Linked DNA regions of Sus scrofa. The protein of the gene in region 2 purifies or fractionates together with the protein of the main gene of each other region. This does not show direct contact. Links are inferred from orthologs where the notes say so. Each region holds a gene or a part of one and is shown on either strand. Other genes may lie near its edges.

Region 1 (9,853 bases), on a different chromosome or scaffold from region 2:
CACACTGCAGGATGCACAACCTCGAATCTTGTTTTCAAGGTTCTTACATTTTTCCCAAGCTACATCATAAATGTGCCAAAGGAGCTTGCTAATGCCATCACCATGGCTCAGGAGACACTTCTACAATGCAAACAGCCCTTTTAACACAGAGTCACTTCCTAATTCATATCCTATTTACTTATATCTTTGTCAAATTGGATTTTCAAGGACTTTTTCAGCTCTGGCATGTGGCAAGTCTATAATTAATATTTATTGACTAAATGAACATAGTTCAAAATCAAGGCATATTTGGGAGTTCCCATTGTGGCTCAGGGGCTTAAGACCTGCACTAGTATCCATGAAGACTGGGGTTTGATCCCTGGCCTCACTCAGTGGATTAAGGATCTGGTGTTGCCATGAGATGGAGCTGCTATGTAAGTCACAGGCTTGTCTCAGACCTGGCATTGCTGTGGCTGTGGTATAGGCCGGCAGCTGCAGCTCTGATTCAACCCCTAGCCTGAGAACTTCCATATGCCGCGGGTGCAGCCCTATGAAGGAAAAAAATGAAGGCATATTCATATCTGATAAGCACATTTGCGTGTGAGCAGATAATTCAAAAGGACTTTTCACATGTTTGTAGCTATTAGTTTCCATAAGAATCTTGTGGGGGAAGAAAACAGGGCTTCATTATACCTATTTCACAGGTGAGACAATTGAGGCCTCTAAAGAACAACTGGCTTCCTCACTTCAGTATCTGAAAAGTCTGATGGCAGTCCAGATGTTGCCAGCAGGGAAACCCCCAGCAATGAAATCAAGACAATTTTAGCTCACATGTCCTCTTGGCTGATCTGATCTCAGGCCTTGCCAAAAAAACATGTCCATTTTCCCAGGCATCCAGGATGGAGGCCCCCAAAGTTTCTGCCCCTTCTTTCTCTGTATGCTGGTGCCTTCCAGGGCTATAGACATTCAAGTCTGAAATCTGTGCCCTGTCCTCCAGGCCCCTGTCATCGCCCAAATGTCTGTTCTCCTTCCCTGCCTCTCATCTCAGGCTCTCCTTGGGAGTGACCCTCTGCCCCTGAGTATATTTATTTGGTCGATACTCACTAAGCCCCAACTTCGTAACAGTCACTGGGCTGGGAACTGAAGACACGAGGTGAGTAAGACATGGCACCTGCCCTCTGGCACACAGCTGAGCGGACAGGGCCATGAGAGAAATCTAGATGGAGGCTTCAACAGCCCTTGGCAGGACATTTAAATCTGAGTGCAGTGCAGGGGAAATCTGACTGGTGTTTGGAAGGATGAATAGGAGTTCATCAGGTTGGCAGGGGTGGGGTGGGAATTCCAGCAGGGGAAAAAGCCCATCAAAAATGACGAGGTGCGGAGTTCCCGTCGTGGCTCAGTGGTTAACAAATCTGGCTAGGAACCATGAGGTTTTGGGTTCGATCCCTGGCCTTGCTCAGTGGGTCAAGGATCTGGCATTGCCATGAGCTGTGGTGTAGGTCACAGATGCGGCTCGGATCCCCACGTTGCAGTGGCTGTGGTGTAGGCCGGTGGCTACAGCTCCGATTAGACCCCCAGCCTGGGAACCTCCATATGCCGCAGAAGCAGCCCTGGAAATGGCAAAAAGACAAAAAAAAAAAAAAAAAAATTCGAGGTGTGAATTGGCAAGATGTGTTTGGGGCCCCACCAGGAGCTGGCATGGGTGGGGTGCTGGCAAGGAGACAAGAAAGCTGAGGGTGGAAAGAGAAGTTTGGATGTTATCCGAGGGTCCCTGCAAGGTTTTTAGGCCAGGGCCCGAGATGATCAAATTTCAATGTTAGAAAAAGGACTCTGATGGCTGTGTGGGGAATGGATTGAGGGAGCTCAAGCACACATTTTGTGTAGTCACCGTTACATCTCGGGCGCCTCCCAGGAACACAGGCAGAGGAGGTGCTCGGGGTATGCGGCAGGGATGAGGGAGTGACCCCATTAGGAGTTTACTACAGAAATCCAGGAGCAAAAGTGCAGGGCTTATATCAGTCAGGAAAACAGAACCCAGGCCGGGAAATTCAATGGGAAGAATTAAAGCAGGGAGCCAGTTACAAAGGTCTGGGAAGAACAGAAGCCAAAGAGAGCAAAACAACACGGTAGGGGGGTAGTCCAGAGATTAGCAGCTGGAAGCTACTTCTACCCTAGGGCTGGAGGGACAAAAGCGGTGGGTGTCACTTCTTCCCTGGAGCCAGAGTGCCTTGAGAGAGCCGGGACGAAGGAGGAGGAAAGGGGAGGGCGGGTCTCCCAGGAAGTGGACTCCGATGGAGATTAGCACGCAGGTTTATTAAGGAATGCTTTTGGAAGGGGAGGAAAGGAACACGACAGGGCTGGATGCAATCTCCAGAAAGAATTCAGATGACCCTAAATTGCCGGGCTGAAGCTGGGATGCCCTTCAGAGGGGGCTCAAATTGAGGCAAGGAGGCTGAACCTGTGTACTCCACAGTCACTTGTCATTGGATGTGGACCTCCTGGGAAAGGAGTGTGAACTTGAACAAGGCAGCCTTTCTCAGTCCAGGCGGTTTCCAAAATGGATTTACAAAAGGCAGCCAGGGGAGTGGAAGGTGGGGTGGGCATGGGTGGATAATTCCTTCTATCCAGTAGGAGGATCTGGCAGCCACACAGACGGGCTGTCTGGGGAAGGGGAATGGGGCGGGATAAAGGTCTGGAGCCACAGAAGAGGTGCGGCCATTGTCCCAAGCAGTCCCGTCTCCCTCCAGGGCTTCCCTCTGGGCAAAATGGGCTGCAAGCCAGTGGCCAAGGGAGCTTGAGACATAGTCTGCAAGGAGAGTTAGGAGGGGAGGGCAGGGGATGGCTCTGAGAGCAAGCAGATCTAGGATGGACCCAGGGACAACCCAGTGGGGGACAGGAAAAAGGCGGATTCATGAGGAAATCGCTGCTAAAGATTCTGGACCCGGGGGTGGCGATGCCTTTCTCTTCGAAGAGGCAGGAAAGGGGGTGTGCACTTCGAGGAAGATGCTGATGGTCCACGCTGAGTTTGCCATCCTAGTGCAGATGCTAAGCTGGCAGCTCAGTGGGTCTTGAATAGCTGGCACAAAATCAATGTGAAAGAGAGAAAATCAGGGCTCTCTCCCAGTTATAAGACCAAGTGCATCCTCCTCAGCCAGAATTGGAGCTCTTCTTGTTTTCCCCAAGGACTTCTGCAGGCTCAGCTCCACCTGGGCAGGCACTCTGGCCTCTAAAGTTCCCCACTTCCTTGCTCTCTTCTCCCCCCACCCCCCCCCGCAACTTCTTACAGCCCCACACATGCCCCCAGGTCAACCGCTTCTAGATGGAATCCTCCCTAACCCCTCTCTTCCCTCTGCAAATTGTAATCTGTTTTTTGAGTACCCACAAGTGCTTAAGAGCTTGAATGCTCCACCTTTTAGTAGTGATTTGATCACAGCAAGTAACTTCGTCTTTGCAGGCTTCTCCCTCTTGAAAAGGGGCAAAAAATAACCCAACGGGGTGGCTGTAAGACTGCAGTGACTATGTGTAAAGTGCTAAGAACTGTGCCTGGCATTTTACAGACCTCAATTAACGTTAGCTATTATTATTTTAATGCTCAATCTTCTAATCCCCAGCGTCTAGCTCTTACTAGATGCTTCATTAGTATTTGCTGAATGAATGGAGATTTAATATGGAAAAAATTTATCCTTGGGGCTCGACCTGGTTTTAGAAAATGAAATTTTTAGTACAAGGGCAGAAGGGATTCTGATAATAGCTATGTACGCTGGGTGTCCAGGGACTCCAAATCGACCTGGTTCTTGAAAGAAAGAAAAACGATAGATTCTAGGTTGCTTTTTCATGGAGCTTTGTGCAGCGTCTGACACACATTTCGCGCTCACCGCAATCACGTTGCACGAGTGCACGCACACGCCCTGGCAGGGCTGCCCGGGTGTAGGAAGTATCACTGTCGGTGGCAGAATGACTCCCACTCCGCTACCCGGCCACCACGGAACTGGGCTGGGCTGGCCCCGGGGCCCCAGACCCTGCAGGGCGTGTGGAGGCCGGGGAGGGGGCTAGAATCCAGCGGCGGCCACGTGGGCCCCTTCCGCCCTCTCCCCACATCCTTTGTTTCCCACCGGCCCCGGCTCAGGAAGCTCTTTCTGCGAGTCACCGCGAAGGGGCGGCCGGGGAGCCTGGAGAAGCTATTTCCGTGCAATCCCGGCGGGCGGCAGGCGCGGGAGGGGCGTGGAGGTGGAGGCAGCGCAGAAGGCCCAGTGTTTGCTTTTATTTCATCCAACAGAAGGTTCTATTTGTGGAAGCGAACAGACGCTGGGGATTAGAGCTGGGAGGGGGCAGGAAAAGGAAAAAAAAAAAAACAAAAAACCACATCCACAACCACGCATAGGTCTTCCCCGGAACTACCGCGTGGGGGTGAATGAGTGATTCTGGAATTCATCACCTTCTCTCTCTTCCTTTCCGCCGACTACCGCCGGGCCTCGCGACGCCCACGGCTCCAACCGGAGGTCCCAGGGCGCGGGGCGGTCGGTTGCGGGGGGAGATCCCCAGGGCAAAAGGCGTCACCGCGCGGCTGCAGCGAGCAGCGGGTGCAGCGAGCCTTGGTGCGCGCGCCCGCAGTCCATTGTGCTCGGTGTGAATGGGGAGCGCGCACCAATCAGCGGTCGCTTCGCCCCCCACGGCCCCACCCCTCCCGCCCACTTCCCGGGGACCCTGACGTCACGGGAACTTTTCCTCCACCCCCTCCTCCAGCTTCTAGCTTTGAGCCCGCTGCCTGCCGGAGGGCGCGCGCCGCCTCCTGCTTAGCCCAGCCCGGGGGGCGTGTGCGCGCGCCCCAGCCAGCTCGGGACACACCACCTGCGCCAGAGCGCGCGCTGCCCGGAGCATCCCAGCCCTCGGGCCACCCCCATCGCCCCCGCCGACCCAGCTCCTCCTCCCTCCTCCCAGCCTCCCCCCCCCCTCTCCGGTGACTGCTCGCCCAGCGGCAGGGCCCGAGTCGTCGCAGCCACCTCATTGCACAACCCGGCTTCCCAACTGTTTACACAGCCCGGCCTGTGAGTGTATGTGTGTATACAGCGTGAGTCACCGGGAGGCGGAGGAGGTGGAGGAAAAGGAGAAGGAGGAGTGCACTGGCCAGGATCGGTGCTGCGCACACACTCACTCACTCACACTCAGTCACTCTCTCTGAGCGCGTCTCGCTCGGGCACACTCACGCCGGGAGCCCGGAGCGCGCAGGATCCCGAGCGCCGCGGAAAAGTTGCTCCGGCTTTGGCCCCGAGACTTATTGCTTTGGGAAGTGCATTTGCTCCGTGGCTCCGCCGAGCCTGCGGAATCCTGTACTCGCTGTTTCGGACCTCGGTAAGGCCAGCCACCGCCACCTCTGCCTCCCTGACTGTCGGCAGCCTCGACAACAATAGCGGCGGCCGCCCCCTGCCAGGTGCCCGGAGCCGATACCGCGGGGGTCTGAGGACCCGAGCCGGCCTCCCACCCCGGGACGCGCAGCCACGGTGGTTCTCGCGTGTACCGCCAGCGCCGGGGAGAGGCTCCGGCTTTGCCCCCCGTGGGGGCCGAACCAAGCTCCGTCTGCAAACTCCATCCTGCGGGCTGGAATACGTCGCGGCGCCGGCGCCGACCCCGTCGCGCCTTCCCGCGCCGATCCGAGGACGTACAAAGCCGGGGCCGTCCCGGCGCCGGACGGGATGCGGGTCGGTCCCGTGCGCTCTGCTATGAGCGGCGTCTCGCAGCCCCGAGCCCCGGCCTTGCTGCTCCCGGCCGGCCGGGGCGCTCCTGCCAAACGCCTGCTGGACGCGGACGACGCGGCGGCGGTGGCGGCCAAGTGCCCACGTCTCTCCGAGTGCTCAAACCCTCCGGACTACCTCAGCCCCCCTGGCTCTCCCTGCAGCCCGCAGCCTCCGCCCGCCGCGCCCGGGGCTGGCGGCGGCTCCGGGAGCGCGCCGGGGCCCAGCCGCATCGCCGACTACCTGCTGCTGCCCCTGGCCGAGCGCGAACATGTGTCCCGGGCGCTGTGCATCCACACGGGCCGCGAGCTGCGCTGCAAGGTAGGCACCCGGAGGCCGAGGCCGAGCGGAGGTCGCGGGGTGGGGAGACACGGTGGCAGCAGAGTTATTTGGGGTTTCCTCAGACGACGCCCGGGGGCCGAAGGTGCCACCAGCGCTTGGGCTTAGGGCAAGGCGGATAAGTGTGTTTGAGTCCGGCAAGGTAGCATTGGACCGGGTTCACTATAAGGGATTGAGGGGTTCGGATGGAGTGGTATAATGGGGTCTTGGCGGTCAAGAGGAAGTGCGGTCCTCAGTTTTTTTTCTCTATGATTTCCTTAATGCCCAGTTTAGCGTGTGGCGTTCCACATAAGTTGTGGAATTGGTGGAATTGAAATGGATTCCAGGGCCATGCCTTTCCCCTTTTCTCATTCTCCTCGCTTCCCACTCCCTCCCCCCGCCCCTTGTTCTGGAGGGACGCCCTGCAGTGGGTTCCTCCTTGGAGCTTGGAGCAGCTGGCAGCTCTCTTGCTGGGGCTGCGAGGCATCCTGGCTCAGCTGCGGGTGATAGGGGGGCGGGCAGCCCGTGTCGGGCTCGGGTCTTGGGAATTCCGGTTGGAACCTGCGCTGGGACAGGGACCCTGTCCTCCCCGAGAGCAGTCTGAGGGGACCTTCCAATCAGGGCGGGGGAACTTGACGGGAGGAGGAGTGTTGGAAAGCCTACACTGGCTAGGAACCCTGGTATCCATTCGTGTCTTGATTTTCCGGCCAGCGATTTTCTTTTGAACATTAGGGATTCCATCCAGGAGATACAACTCCTGGAAACAGGATCCTGCGCGCGCTCCTCCTGCGCCCACAGACGCAGAACAGTCCCACAGTCCATCTACGCTTTGCGAGCTGCACGCCCGGGCCTCACACATCCCCGAGAACCCTCCAGGCTGCTCCTTTTTACCTGAAAGATAGGATCACCCCTCAGTTCAAGTCGCTCTTGGGTTTTCCGCGACTCACCTGACCCTCACCTTCCCGTCCCTGGGCTCGCTGCTGCCACCTACTGTCCGACCCGAACGAAACTTCAAAGGCATAATCGAGCCCGGTTGAAAGGGGGGAAAAATCTTTTCTTCTGGGTCGCTGGGGCTGTGAACTGTTTTGGGAAGAGAATGAGTGTGGGTTGGGGTGGGAGGAAGGGGGCAGCAGAGAGATTTCTGGAGCTGGTTCCAGAGCAGTCAGGCCTCAGAGGTGGGGTGGGTCTGGTCATTGTGCAACCCCTTCCAGTTCCTCCCAGCAGATAATAGCTGAATCCAGATGGTGACAGCCCGTGTGTCACCGTTTCCAGTCGAGTCTAGGATATGAGTAACCGGACTAAACAAAAGGCCCTTAAAGAGACCAGCCAGCTTCTTAGAGGAGATGCTGCCCATTTCCGGGGTGAAGGGGGGAGGGGAGAGATAAATAAATGAAAAAAACCCCGGAGAGAATCGTATGGTCCTGTGGGAATTTTAACTCAAGAGTACATCTCCCTGAGCCTCAGCAGGTTGCTTAGGGCTGTGTTGACAGTCAGTCCCTCTTTCTTTCTCTCTGGGAGTCATCTGTTCCTCTGTCTGATGGCAGAGCTGCATGTTCTTTAGCCCGTGCTTCCACTTGGAGGCTGCGGAGTCGTACATTTCCAGGGCTCCTGGAGATCCCTGGGGGACCTCTAGCAGTCACTTTGCCTAGCATTACCTGCCGATAAGGAAGGGCCACAGAGGATGGTGACGAAGGAGCTTAGTTAGCTCTTTGGAGCTGGTGGCCTCAGGGGAAGCCATACATAGAAGACTTCTTTCCAACCATCCATATGGTAGCTCTTTGGATATTTGCTCAACCAGAGCCCAAGATGCTCCTGGTTCTCGGTGCTGGGGGCTGCATCAGTTGGGGTTGCTGAGCTAAGGGGGTGGAGGGGAAATGAATGGAGCCTTGCTTCCATCAAAGCCTGGAGAGGGAGAACTGCAGCCCAGCCCAGGATCTGGGAGGCAGCCTCTGCTTTTCTAGCCTCCTAAGTGGGTCACCTTCTCTCTGCAGGTGTTTCCCATTAAACACTACCAGGACAAAATCCGGCCTTACATCCAGCTGCCATCACACAGGAACATCACTGGCATCGTGGAAGTGATCCTCGGGGAAACCAAGGCCTATGTCTTCTTTGAAAGGGACTTTGGGGACATGCACTCCTATGTGCGCAGCCGGAAGAGGCTGCGGGAGGAGGAGGCCGCCCGGCTCTTCAAGCAGATCGTCTCTGCCGTTGCCCACTGCCACCAGTCGGCCATCGTGCTGGGGGACCTGAAGCTTAGGAAATTTGTCTTCTCCACGGAGGAGAGGTGAGCGGCCCCCACAGCCCCTCCTCTGCCTTTTGGGCACCAAAACGAAGGTGGTAGAGCCATTAGGTGCAGTGTGTTGGTTCAAACACCACCAAGCTCTCAGCTGTCCCAGAGTTAGTATTTAGGGGTCCCCTCCTGAGGAGCCAAGGCCAAGGTTGGTTATGCGGCCCCCTTGTGGATGTGGCGTGGGGACCCCTTGGTGCATCTGGGGGATGTCACATGATGACAGGATGCCCTCCCCACTTCTACCCGGGATCCGTTTTATCACATTGTCATCAGAAAGGTCAGCTCTTCTGGGGTACAGATGTCAACCTGCATCATTCCTAGAGGACATCTTCGAATCCTTGTTTATACTGAGCGGGTTTGTTTCGTTCTGTGTGTTTGGCTTTTGTACCCAGTAAATATCACAGAGCTAGTCAGCCTGTTGTATTTGCAGAATTCCGTCTCCTTCCTTCACTCCGCACTCCTGTTCCATGTCAGGCCTGCCCCCCCCATATTTTCTCCACGTTCTCTAGTGACTTTTTAGACATCTTGTTTGGCTCCATCTTCAGAAAATAGCTACACTGAATAATAAATGGAAGTTGGCTGGAATTGGTTGCTAAATATAGATCCTGACTTACCTCATAAAGAACAAGATGAGCTCGATAAGACAATAATGAGACATTAAGATTCAGAGCTGAGGTTTCAGACAAGAGAATTCAGGAAGCCGCAGGAGATAAACCTTACCTGATTTTAAGAGGTGGGGCCACATCCCTAGTGGAAAGATTAAAAAGCAATACTATTGTATGATTGCAGAGGTGGGTGGGTGTTATTTTGTGGTAGCCATGCAAGCAGGGCTCACTCCACCTGTGCCTTTTTTACCCTGAAGTTATTCAGGCCCTGTGAAAAAGGGCAGGGTTGAGTTGCCAGAAAGCAAGGCTTTGTGCCTGACCTTGCATAAGTATTAGAACACACTGATTAGCAAAGAAAAGCAAAGTATTGGCAATGAAGAAGTTTCCAATTCCTGGAACACACTCTTAGATATGGTGATGTATTTTCTGAAACATGCCTTACACACCTCCTTGCTGACTTTTGAAATCCGCATTGCACAGGCAGATGTCATGTGCATGGCGTTTGGCAACCCGAGGGTTAAGCAATGGCAGGCTGACGCTATTCGTGTAACCAGCACAGGTGCAGGGTTTTAGTACTACAGCAGCCAATCAGCGGCAGACAGTGTGGGTTGAGTCATATTTTCCGTTTACAGAACCAATGGGTATTTTACATAACGACGGGGAGGTCAGGCTGAGGACATACCGAAGTTAGCACATGTATACTACACTCCAGGGAACAGGAAGGCAGGAAGAAAAAAAAAAAAAAAAACAAGTAGACCTTTGAGAGGAAAAGGAATTGACCCAGTAGCCTGTACGAAATGTTTGCATTTAACTTCACAACAAGTGACTTACTGAAACAGGGCTGGGAGGAGCCCAAGTGGCCACCAGATATTGGAGGCTCCCCATGTGGCTCTGGGCTTTGGGGGAACCAAGGGGCTTGAGAGGTTGGATCG
Region 2 (9,298 bases):
CAAGCCCCTCGTCCGCCAGGGCCGCCCACAGCAGACACACCGTGTTTTTCCCCTGGTCAGAGCTGGAGACACTGCGAGGTCAGCTCGGGAGGGTCCAGCAGGGCTGGGAGTCAGATCCTGGGTTCTAGTCCTGGCTCTGCCCCTTCCTGGCTGTGATCTTGGTCATGCGAGTTAATTTCTTGCTAACCCTCAATTTCCTCATGCGCAGAACAGGGAAAATATTAGCACCTAAGTCCCAGGGCTGTTAGGATTTAACGAGATAAGAAGATAATCCCAGGGAAAGCCCTGAATCCAGGACCTGGCAGACAGGGACTGGTTACCAACTGCTTGCTCAGATGGGACCTCCTCAGACAGTGGGCACAGCTGGCAGAGGTTACCATCTGAGACCCCAGGGAAGGCAGCACCCCCAGGCGGGGGGTGAGAGGAGCCACACGGTGACGACAGGCCTGGAACGCACGTGCCAGTGCGGCGGGCTCTCCACTCCGCCCTGCCAGCAGGGCTTGCCAGCCGCCTGCATGTGGGGCTCAAGGAAAGCTCGGCGCGACGCAGCAGGGCCGAGCTGGAGCCTCTCCCACAGGAAACCGCACAGGCAGCTCTGAGTCCTCCCAAAGCCTGGTGATGCTCCCCGCCCTGCCACCATCACCCCAGACCCCTCAGGCGCGTCCTGGCAGGAGGGACGCGGGCAGCAGGGATGAAGGGGGGAGTCCCGTGTCAGCATGACCTGCTGGGAGTCACTCCAGCTGTGGCCCTCAGGCTACCGCAGCGTGGTGTCCTTTTCTAGGAACTGGGTGTGCGACATGCCCACCTGGAAAGAAAGGAGGACGGCAAAGAGCCCGCAGCAAGCCTCATGGAGTCCCAAAAGGGGATTTCAGATGGCAACCCTGCCCTCTCTCCACAGCAGGGGGACTGGTACCACAGCTGCCCGAGAGCCCTTCTCCCCATTTCCTCTGCTGTGCTGGGGGCCTCCAGCTTGTCACTGTTTCTCCAGCTGGAGTGAGGGCTGGCCTGCTGGGCAGGAAGGGGCTGGAGCTCCTCCAGGTCCACCTTTGACTTCCCAAGGATGAAAGGGAGGCCCCAAAGGGGGAAGGGAAACTCAGAGAAGTGCATGGTACCACAGCAGAGACACAGGAACGGGCCCTGGGCACTTAGCGTGGTTTCTGCAGCACAAGCTCTGCCTTCCAGGCACCCAGGCCTCACATGAGAGGTGCCCAGAACCTCTGACTGACCAAAGCACAGGAAAGGGATTACTGGATTAAACAACTGTATAACTGAGACACTCGAGCGCAGCGCGCGCATGCGCACACACACACACACACACACACACACACACACGAGCTGCTATAGCTACACTGGCCTTACTCAAGGGAGATGTGACCTGAGGACATTTCCAGAACCAAGGGCCTGGAGAAGTGGGAGCAGAAGCTAAGCCACCAAGCAGACAAAGAGGCCTGAGCTGCTGGCCTGGTTAGCAGCACAGGAGCCCCTGACATCACGTGCCCATAAACACCTTCGGGATGCTCACCTTGAGCCAATAAAGGGCTGCGTGGAAGGCTGGGAGGACACGACTTCTGCAGCCAGATGGACTTAAGTGTTCAAAGCGTATGCCCTCTTTGTGAAGACTGAGCCTGCGGCTCAGAGTGGGATGCAGGAACGTCCCACAGAAGGCCAGGAGCCGAGTCTCCTGATGCCAAGACAATGGGCTCTCAGGGCTGGGAAGCTCTGCATTCTCCAACACCTGCCCTCCTGGGGCCGGGGCATGGGGGACCTTGCCACTGGCATCCTCATCAGCCACCCATCACACAGTGGGCCTCACCTCCAGAGGGAGCAAGCGTACAGGCCCCCCAGGCCCCAGCTGGTCTAGCACGAGACTGCACTTTCGGGGGGCCAAACCCTGCCAGGCAGTCTCAGGTCTTGGGCCGGTCTCTGCAGGGAGGAATAATCACCTCCACTTCCACGGAAGAGGGCATGGAAACTCGGAGAAGTGCATGGTACCACAGCAGCCTCTCAATACACAAGTGACTTAATCCATGGGCGAATAATCAAATGAATGAGCCCTCCCCGTCTCAAGGGTAATTAGGAGGCAGTGCTGGGCTGTGAGCCAGGTCTGACCCCCAAGACCTGCTCTTCCCAGCTTTGCTCTCTCTCAGCTGGTCAAGGGTTCAAGCAGCCCTGAAACCCTGTTTCCTTCCCTCCTCCCCATGCAGCACTTCAGGACCCAGTTTTTACCACCTCACTTTCTCAGGCTGGCAAACCTTTACTCATGCTTCATGAACTGACACTGCCCCGCTCTGTCCTATGCACACAGGCCCTCCATTAGAGGGTGGTGTCTGCCCTCTGGTTGCCCCCATCAGGCCATGAACTCTGGGGGATTGTCTGCAGCCCCAGTGCCAGGTGAGGCTGGAGACAGGCTGAGCGCTGAGGGGCAGCGGCACCCTCTCGATGGCATCTTGGGGTGGCACTACAAGGCCTGGTGCCCCACGCCCCTCCACAGAGGCCCATCTCCCTGTGGCCACTGTGCCGTTGGCCATTTCATAAGGATAGCGGGCCCAGGGCCCTCCTGGGTAGGCAACCACATTATGGACCAAATCCCCACCACACCTCTTCTGCTATGAGGTGTGTGCTGCCTGCCATCTGCAAGCCCTCCGACCCACTTGAACACCAGGAGGTGAGGGTGAGAGGCTCAGGGAGAGCAGGTGGCAGAGGCCTGGTAGTTCCAGGACCATGTGCACAAAGAACGCTCCCTACTCATCGGTCCTGGGCCCTGGTATGGTTGGTGTCCCTTTGTCAGTGCCCAGATCACTCGGAAGGGCTCTGCTCGGCTTGAGTGGGGTGAGAGTCTGAGGCAGGAGCCTTATGTGATTTCCCTCTGCCACTGGCTCACCAAGGATGCTGGGGTGAGCCACCCAGATCCCCTCTAAGATCGAGTGGCTCTCTCCCTGCTGCCAGGAATGTCAGCATCTGACCACTCATGGCTGCTTCCTCTTCCCGAACATCTTCTTAGCCAAATGAAGCTGCCCTGACCAATCCTGTGCCCCTGGGCACAGACTCCACTCAGTGGCTGGTCACAATGAGGGTTCAGGGCCATGAGCCCCCTTGCCTTGATTAGGGACATCTGAAGGGCTACCTGGCTCTCAGGCTTTCCAGGCTGAGGCTCTGTCATGCCCGGCCACAGTTTAGCTTCTCCCTCGGCGCAATCCCGGCTCCTTCTCCCTGAGGGAACGGCCCAGCAAACTTCCTGCACACACATCTCAGAGTCTGTTTCCTGGGAACCTGACCCACGACAAGGCCTCATTTTGCTCATCTGTTATTCTGTCACCCATTGGTCTATTTTTTTATAGTCATTTACTACATATCCACTGGGCATGACAAATGAACAGACCAGGGAGGACCTCTGAAATCCTTCCTACAGCTCTTTCTGTGGCCTTTACGGCCCCTCTTCTTAGCAAGCACCATATTCCCATGTGGCAAGACAGAAGTAGGCATTGCATCCCCCAGCCCCTGGGATTCCTGGGGGAAGTGGGCTGTGTTGAGTCAGAATCCCTGTGGGGATGCTGCAGGGCCCTGGGCAGTTGCAGCATGTAGCCCATCCCAACCCCAAGGTGACATCACAAAAGAAGAAAAGTGAAGTTTACCTCTTATTGAGCACCATGTTTCCAAGTTTCAGGTCTCTGTGCACGATATTTTTCTGGAAAACAACAGGCCCATGGTTTATACTATGGTCAGAGCCAGGGTTGGGCCTGGACTATCAGAAGTGGGCTTTTAGGTGCTGCCTTGTTATGCTTGTGCCTTGATGTGTAAGCCACAGACAGATCAGGACCATTCCTGGGCCTCATTAACCATGTGTACAAATTGGGTGACATTGTTTTCTCCCCTCAGGGCAGCCAAAAAACCACTCCTCTCTCTGTCTCCATCAAACATCCCACTGGGGAAACAAAACAAAACAGAACCAAAACCCAAACCAAAACCCTCCAAGATGAATCCTCACGGTTCTGGTGACCAAGTACGGCCAGCTTGGCCTGCAAGGAGCTGTGTGCATGGAGGAGGCCCAGGCTCTCCTAACCCGTGTCTCAGGCTCCTCACACCCCACCCCTAGGAAAGCTCAGAGACAGGCTGTGACCGCCCGCATGGAGAGCTCACAAGTCATCGCCGAGGCTGGGAGACCACAGCGTGGCCTACGGGCTGATGGGGCTTTACGGCACTGGACTCTGCGGGGTGCCCGGCACTGTGGGCCGAGGCCTGCAGCACTGCACCTCAGCGGGTGTGCCTGTCATCCGGCCCTCTTCCTTCTGGACATGCCCAGCTGCAAAGCACACCCAGGGGAGGGCAGGACAGTGCGGTTCTGCTGAGCAGCACGGGAAGGGGGGCGTTCCAGGGCATGGAGGTCAGGATGCCTCTGGGCAGAGCCTCACCTGGTGCAGGGCCTCCACCACGCGCACCACGTCATAGAAGATGACCACGGTCTCGCGCTCGCTGAGCCTCTTCTCCTTGATGACGTAGTGCTGCAGGTTGATCAGGTCGGCGGTCTTGTCGCTGAAGTCGTGAGCGCAGAGGCAGTCGAGGACGAGGCAGATGCGCTTCTTCATCTTCTTAACCATCCGGTTGGATTCTGCATCTTCGACAATTTCACAGGTGCGGTCCTGGGAGGAGGGGGCAGACCGGGGCTCGGCTACAGGCCCAGCAGGGCCAGGGCCTTGGGGCTCCTCTGGAGCTGACCACACAAACCAGTGAGGGAGCCTGGGAAAGCCTGTGTGTGTGGGCGCTGGAGGCCTGAGGCCTGGGCAGCACGGACCATGGGCTGCTCAGCACTCCCCTACCTCCCCTGTGCCAGTGCCAGGCTTGGCCAGGGCTGAGGCTGAAGTAGTTTAGGCTCAGGCTTCATGCTCTGGTCCTAATGCAAAGTGTCTGGATCAGGGCTGGGCACTGGCAGTCAAAGGACCCTGAGCTCAGGGTGCAGGCAGCAGGCCCAGGCCCGGGGCAGCCTCCCCTCCATGGCGCTCCTAGGGTTTCTAGTAATGACCAATGTCCACTTCCTTCCAGTGCCCAAGATGGTGGAAGCCATGTGCCCTGTGTGTCCAGGACAACTGCTTTCACATGGACGGAGGACTCCTGGGCAGCCATGTCACAGCTGGGTGCAGGCCCTGGCTCCACCGTGTCCTAGCCGTGGGACCGGGGCAGCTCACCTAGCCTCTCCAAGTCTCTGGCTCCTTGTCTGTGACAGGGAGCCAGCAACCCCTACCTCACAGGCTGTGGGGAGAAACGCAACCACGCCAAGTACTCGGTCCTGCCCAGCCAGGGCTCCGTAAGCTGGCACTGCAACGAACCCCCAGGTGGGCAGTTCTGGACCCATTTTCCTTGCTGAAAAGGTACTTCCAGTGAGAGAAAACACACGTGCAACACGAGGACTTTTATCCTGCCAGCCTGAGGAGGCCCTCAGTGTCAACCCAGCAGACTAGGAACTCCAGGGGATGAAACATCCACACTGCTCCTTCAGGGCAGGATCCTAACTCTCATCCTCTCTTCCCCAGAGGCCCAGCATCTGGCACACAGAGGACTCTGGAAATACTTCTAAACACTCAGGTTCTCTTATCCAAAATGACCTACACCAGAGTTCCTGTCGTGGTGCAGCGGAAACGAATCCGACTAGGAACCATGAGGTTGCGGGCTTAATCCCTGGCCTTGCTCAGTAGGTTAAGGATTCGGTGTTGCCATGAGCTGTGATGTAGGTCGCAGATGTGGCTCGGATCCAGTGTTGCTGTGGCTGTGGTGTGGGCCGGCAGCCACAGCTCCTACTAGACCCCTAGCCTGGGAATCTACATATGCCGCAGGTATAGCCCTAAAAAGACAAAAGACCAAAACAAACAAACAAACAAAATGACCTACACCAAGGCCTAGCTCTGGAAGCTACCAGAGATGAAACAGGAAATCATGATCACTACCCTCATTTGATCTCATGTTTAAGGAAAACTCTAATTTTCAGAGTTGCCTGCTGATGCTCCGAGTTGGCTCTCATTGCACATCTAAGAATAAAGACTGGAGTTCCCGTCGTGATGCAGCGAAAACAAATCTGACTAGGAACCATGAGGTTGTGGGTTTGATCCCTGGCCTCACTCAGTGGGTTAAGGACCCTGTGTTGCTGTGGCTCTGGTGTAGGCTGGCAGATGTAGCTCCTATTAGACCCCTGGCCTGTGAAACTTCATATGCCGCGGGTGTGGCCCTAAAAAGACAAAACGACCAATAAAGAAAAAATAAGAACTTGGTGGGGTGTATGTGTTGGGGTGAGAAGTATTTTCCACTTATCTTACCTCAAGAAATCAAACTGATAAGGGACAGCTCAGTGCCCTGTTTGTCTGTCCGTCCATCCGTCCATCCATCTATCCATCCATCTTTTTTGGCCACATGCACGGCATATGGAGGTTCCAGGGCTAGAGATCGAATCTGAGCCGCAGTTGTAACCTCTACCACAACTCTAGCAATGCCAGATCCTTAATCCACTGTGCTAGCAGGCTGGGAATCAAACCCATACTACCAGAGAGACAACACCAGATCCTTAACCTGCTGCACCACAGCAGGACCTCCGGCTCAGTGCCTTATAGCCTCTCATTCATTTCCTACCACCTTCTTCCAAGGTAGGCACCATTATCATTATCCCAATTTTGCAGATGAGGAATCTGGGGCTTAGAAACCTGAGTGACTGACTTGCCCAAGGTCACACAACCTGTGTGCCCTTCCTGACACCAGGCTGCCTCTCAAGTACCAGGTTCATCCTAGCATAAGTGGGTCTGGCCAAAGCATCGGGCTGTGGGTGCTGCAAAAGCTCCAAGGGGGGCCTGAACAAGGCGACCCTTCACCCCCAGCATTCTGAACCCAGCTTTTTTTTGTCGAAGATGCAGTTTCAGAACTATCCCCAGGAGGGCTCTTTTTAGAGTACCAGTTACTAATTAGTACCTTTCCTAAGGGACCTGGAACATCCAAGCCCGGGGCTTAGGGATCTTTGCTATGGAAGCTGAAACACCCAGATGGACAGAAGGACTGCTGGTACCAAAAGCAACTGGGAGATCCACAGATGCCCCGGTGCCCAGCCCTCCTCACCGCCCTCCCTTCCACCCTGGCCTGGCCGTTCCTGACAACACAGCTAGAAGGAGCCCATGTGTCTTTAAATAACTTCCTGCTTTCCGCTTTTCTCGGAAAAGCGGCTCCTCAAAGAAAGCCTGCAAGCTGCAAACCGGGTGCATTCCCGCTAGGCTGCCATCATCATAGCAGGCGTGCTGGCCCAGCCTGACCTCCAGCCGACCCACTGGGAAACACCACTGCAGGGAGACAACGGGCAGCGGGGGGGGGGCCTCGCTAGCATGATGCGGGGGTGGGGGGACGACAGGCAGCCCCCTCTGCCACTCACCTGGAAGAGCCCGTGGTGGTGAACCACGCCATCCTGCGTGTGGAGGAGGGAGAGCAGGGAGTACTCAGTGTGTAACAGCATCTTGCCTTGCCTTTCCTCCTGGCTTTCTATCCCTTGGTCGCCCCTCTCCTCAAGGGTGAGGATCTTTAGAAGGCACACACACACAAAAAAAAACAAAACCCCCAGCCCTTAATTTTCCAAGCAGGGTGACCAAAACAGGAGAAGCAGGGGGTCACGTCCTCCCACGCCACCCTGGCACATGTGCCCACACATGCATGGACGAAGTGAAAAGGTCTTTCCCAGCGTAATGGCAATGTGTGTACACACCAACAGCACCCCAGGAAGAAATGGCACTGCTCTTGGTCATGAGAGATGCAGGAGAAGCTGGGAGGAGGGAGGAGCCAAGCTGGCAGGATGGCTCCCCACATCTGGTACCTCACTTACCTTCAGCTGGTAGAAGTCATCTGTGCCATCTTTCCTTGCCAAACACTGGACGATGCTTGGCACCGGTGAGTTGCCCAGACGGGGACCTATGGCACAAAGAGCCACTCGCTTACTTCTCAGGAACCCTGTCTACGGTGGCACTGAGCCGCCATGTGGTCTTTTGGCTAGATCTTCTCTCCTGGAGGGCATATGGTTCACATCCACTGAACTCACAATGTCCCCTCTGAAAATGTAGGGGTACGTGTCCATGTGCCTGAGTACACCCAGCTTTTTTTTTTTTTTTGCTTTGTAGGGCCCCACATGCGGCATATGGAGGTTCCCAGGCTAGGGGTCCAATTGGAGCTGTAGCTGCCAGCCTACACCACAGCCACAGCAACCTGAGATACGAGCTGCGTCTGCAACCTATACCACAGCTCACAGCAATGCCAGATTCTTTTTTTTTTTTGCAGGGATGCTTTTATTTTTTATTTTATTTTATTTTATTTTTTTGTCTTTTTGCCATTTCTCGGGCCGCTCTCGCGGCACATGGAGGTTCCCAGGCTGGAGTCGAATCGGAGCTGTAGCCACCGGCCTACGCCAGAGCCACAGCAATGCCAGATCCGAGCTGCGTCTGCGACCTACACCACAGCTCATGGCAACGCCGGATCATTAACCCACTGAGCAAGGGTAGGGACCGAACCCGCAACCTCATGGTTCCTAGTCAGATTCGTTAACCACTGCGCCATGACGGGAACTCCAGCAATGCCAGATTCTTAACCCACTGAGCGAGGTCAGAGATTGAACCCACAACCTCATGGTTCCTAGTCGGATTCATTTCTGCTGCGCCATGATGGGAACTCCTGTACGCCCAGCTTTTATAGGCACACTTCTCAAGAGGGGCTCTCAGTACTGGGTGTGTGCTGGAATCTCTGAGAAACATGTGTGAAAATAGAGATCCCAGCTGCAACCTGGGCTCTCTGAGTCAGCAACTCCAGGGGGAGGATCCAGGAATCTGTCCCTTTAACAGGCTCCCATAGTGGTCTGATGTGGCCCCTGTCTAAGTACCAGCTTTCAGAAACTTCTGTAGTTCCGGAGATGCATACTGTTTGCTGTCCTGGGACAGTGCCCTGAGCTTTCAGAGCATAAATCAGATAATGTCACAGCATCACGGCACTGCTAAAAAACCTTAACAGTGGAGTTCCCATTGTGACTCAGCAGGTTAAGAACAAGCTAGTATCCATGAGGATGTGGGTTTGATCCCTGGCTTCGCTCAGTAGGTTAAGGATCTGGTGTTGCCGTGAGTTGTGTAGGTCAAAGATGCAGCTCGGATCTCAAATTGCTGTGGCTGTGGCGTAGGCCGGCATCTGGCACAGAGAGGACTCTGGAAATACTTCTAACCACTCAGGTTCTCTTATCCAAATGACCTACACTGGAGTCATTCATCCGACTAGGAACCATGAGGTTTCGGGTTCGATCCCC

Evidence for each region. Proteins that work in one complex are often made in the same cells at the same time.
Region 1: the proteins of STK40 (region 2) and TRIB1 purify together in Homo sapiens (affinity purification with mass spectrometry; 3 studies listed by BioGRID and IntAct, counting the BioPlex papers as one, with this or other methods). This does not show direct contact. The link is inferred for Sus scrofa from reciprocal best matches to the Homo sapiens genes STK40 and TRIB1.

The regions. Positions count from the first base shown.
Region 1 is NC_010446.5:14,292,982-14,302,834, reverse strand, and holds the start of TRIB1 (tribbles homolog 1), read left to right. Parts: upstream 1-4,715; 5' UTR 4,716-5,669; coding exon 5,670-6,029; intron 6,030-6,051; exon of another isoform or gene 6,052-7,415; coding exon of another isoform or gene 7,416-7,493; intron 7,494-7,518; exon of another isoform or gene 7,519-7,793; coding exon of another isoform or gene 7,794-7,796; intron 7,797-8,017; coding exon 8,018-8,310; intron 8,311-9,853. UniProt on the Homo sapiens protein: Adapter protein involved in protein degradation by interacting with COP1 ubiquitin ligase. The COP1-binding motif is masked by autoinhibitory interactions with the protein kinase domain.
Region 2 is NC_010448.4:92,451,269-92,460,566, forward strand, and holds part of STK40 (serine/threonine-protein kinase 40), read right to left. Parts: intron 7,927-9,298; coding exon 7,841-7,926; intron 7,541-7,840; coding exon 7,397-7,540; intron 4,638-7,396; coding exon 4,410-4,637; intron 3,686-4,409; coding exon 3,633-3,685; intron 1-3,632. UniProt on the Homo sapiens protein: May be a negative regulator of NF-kappa-B and p53-mediated gene transcription.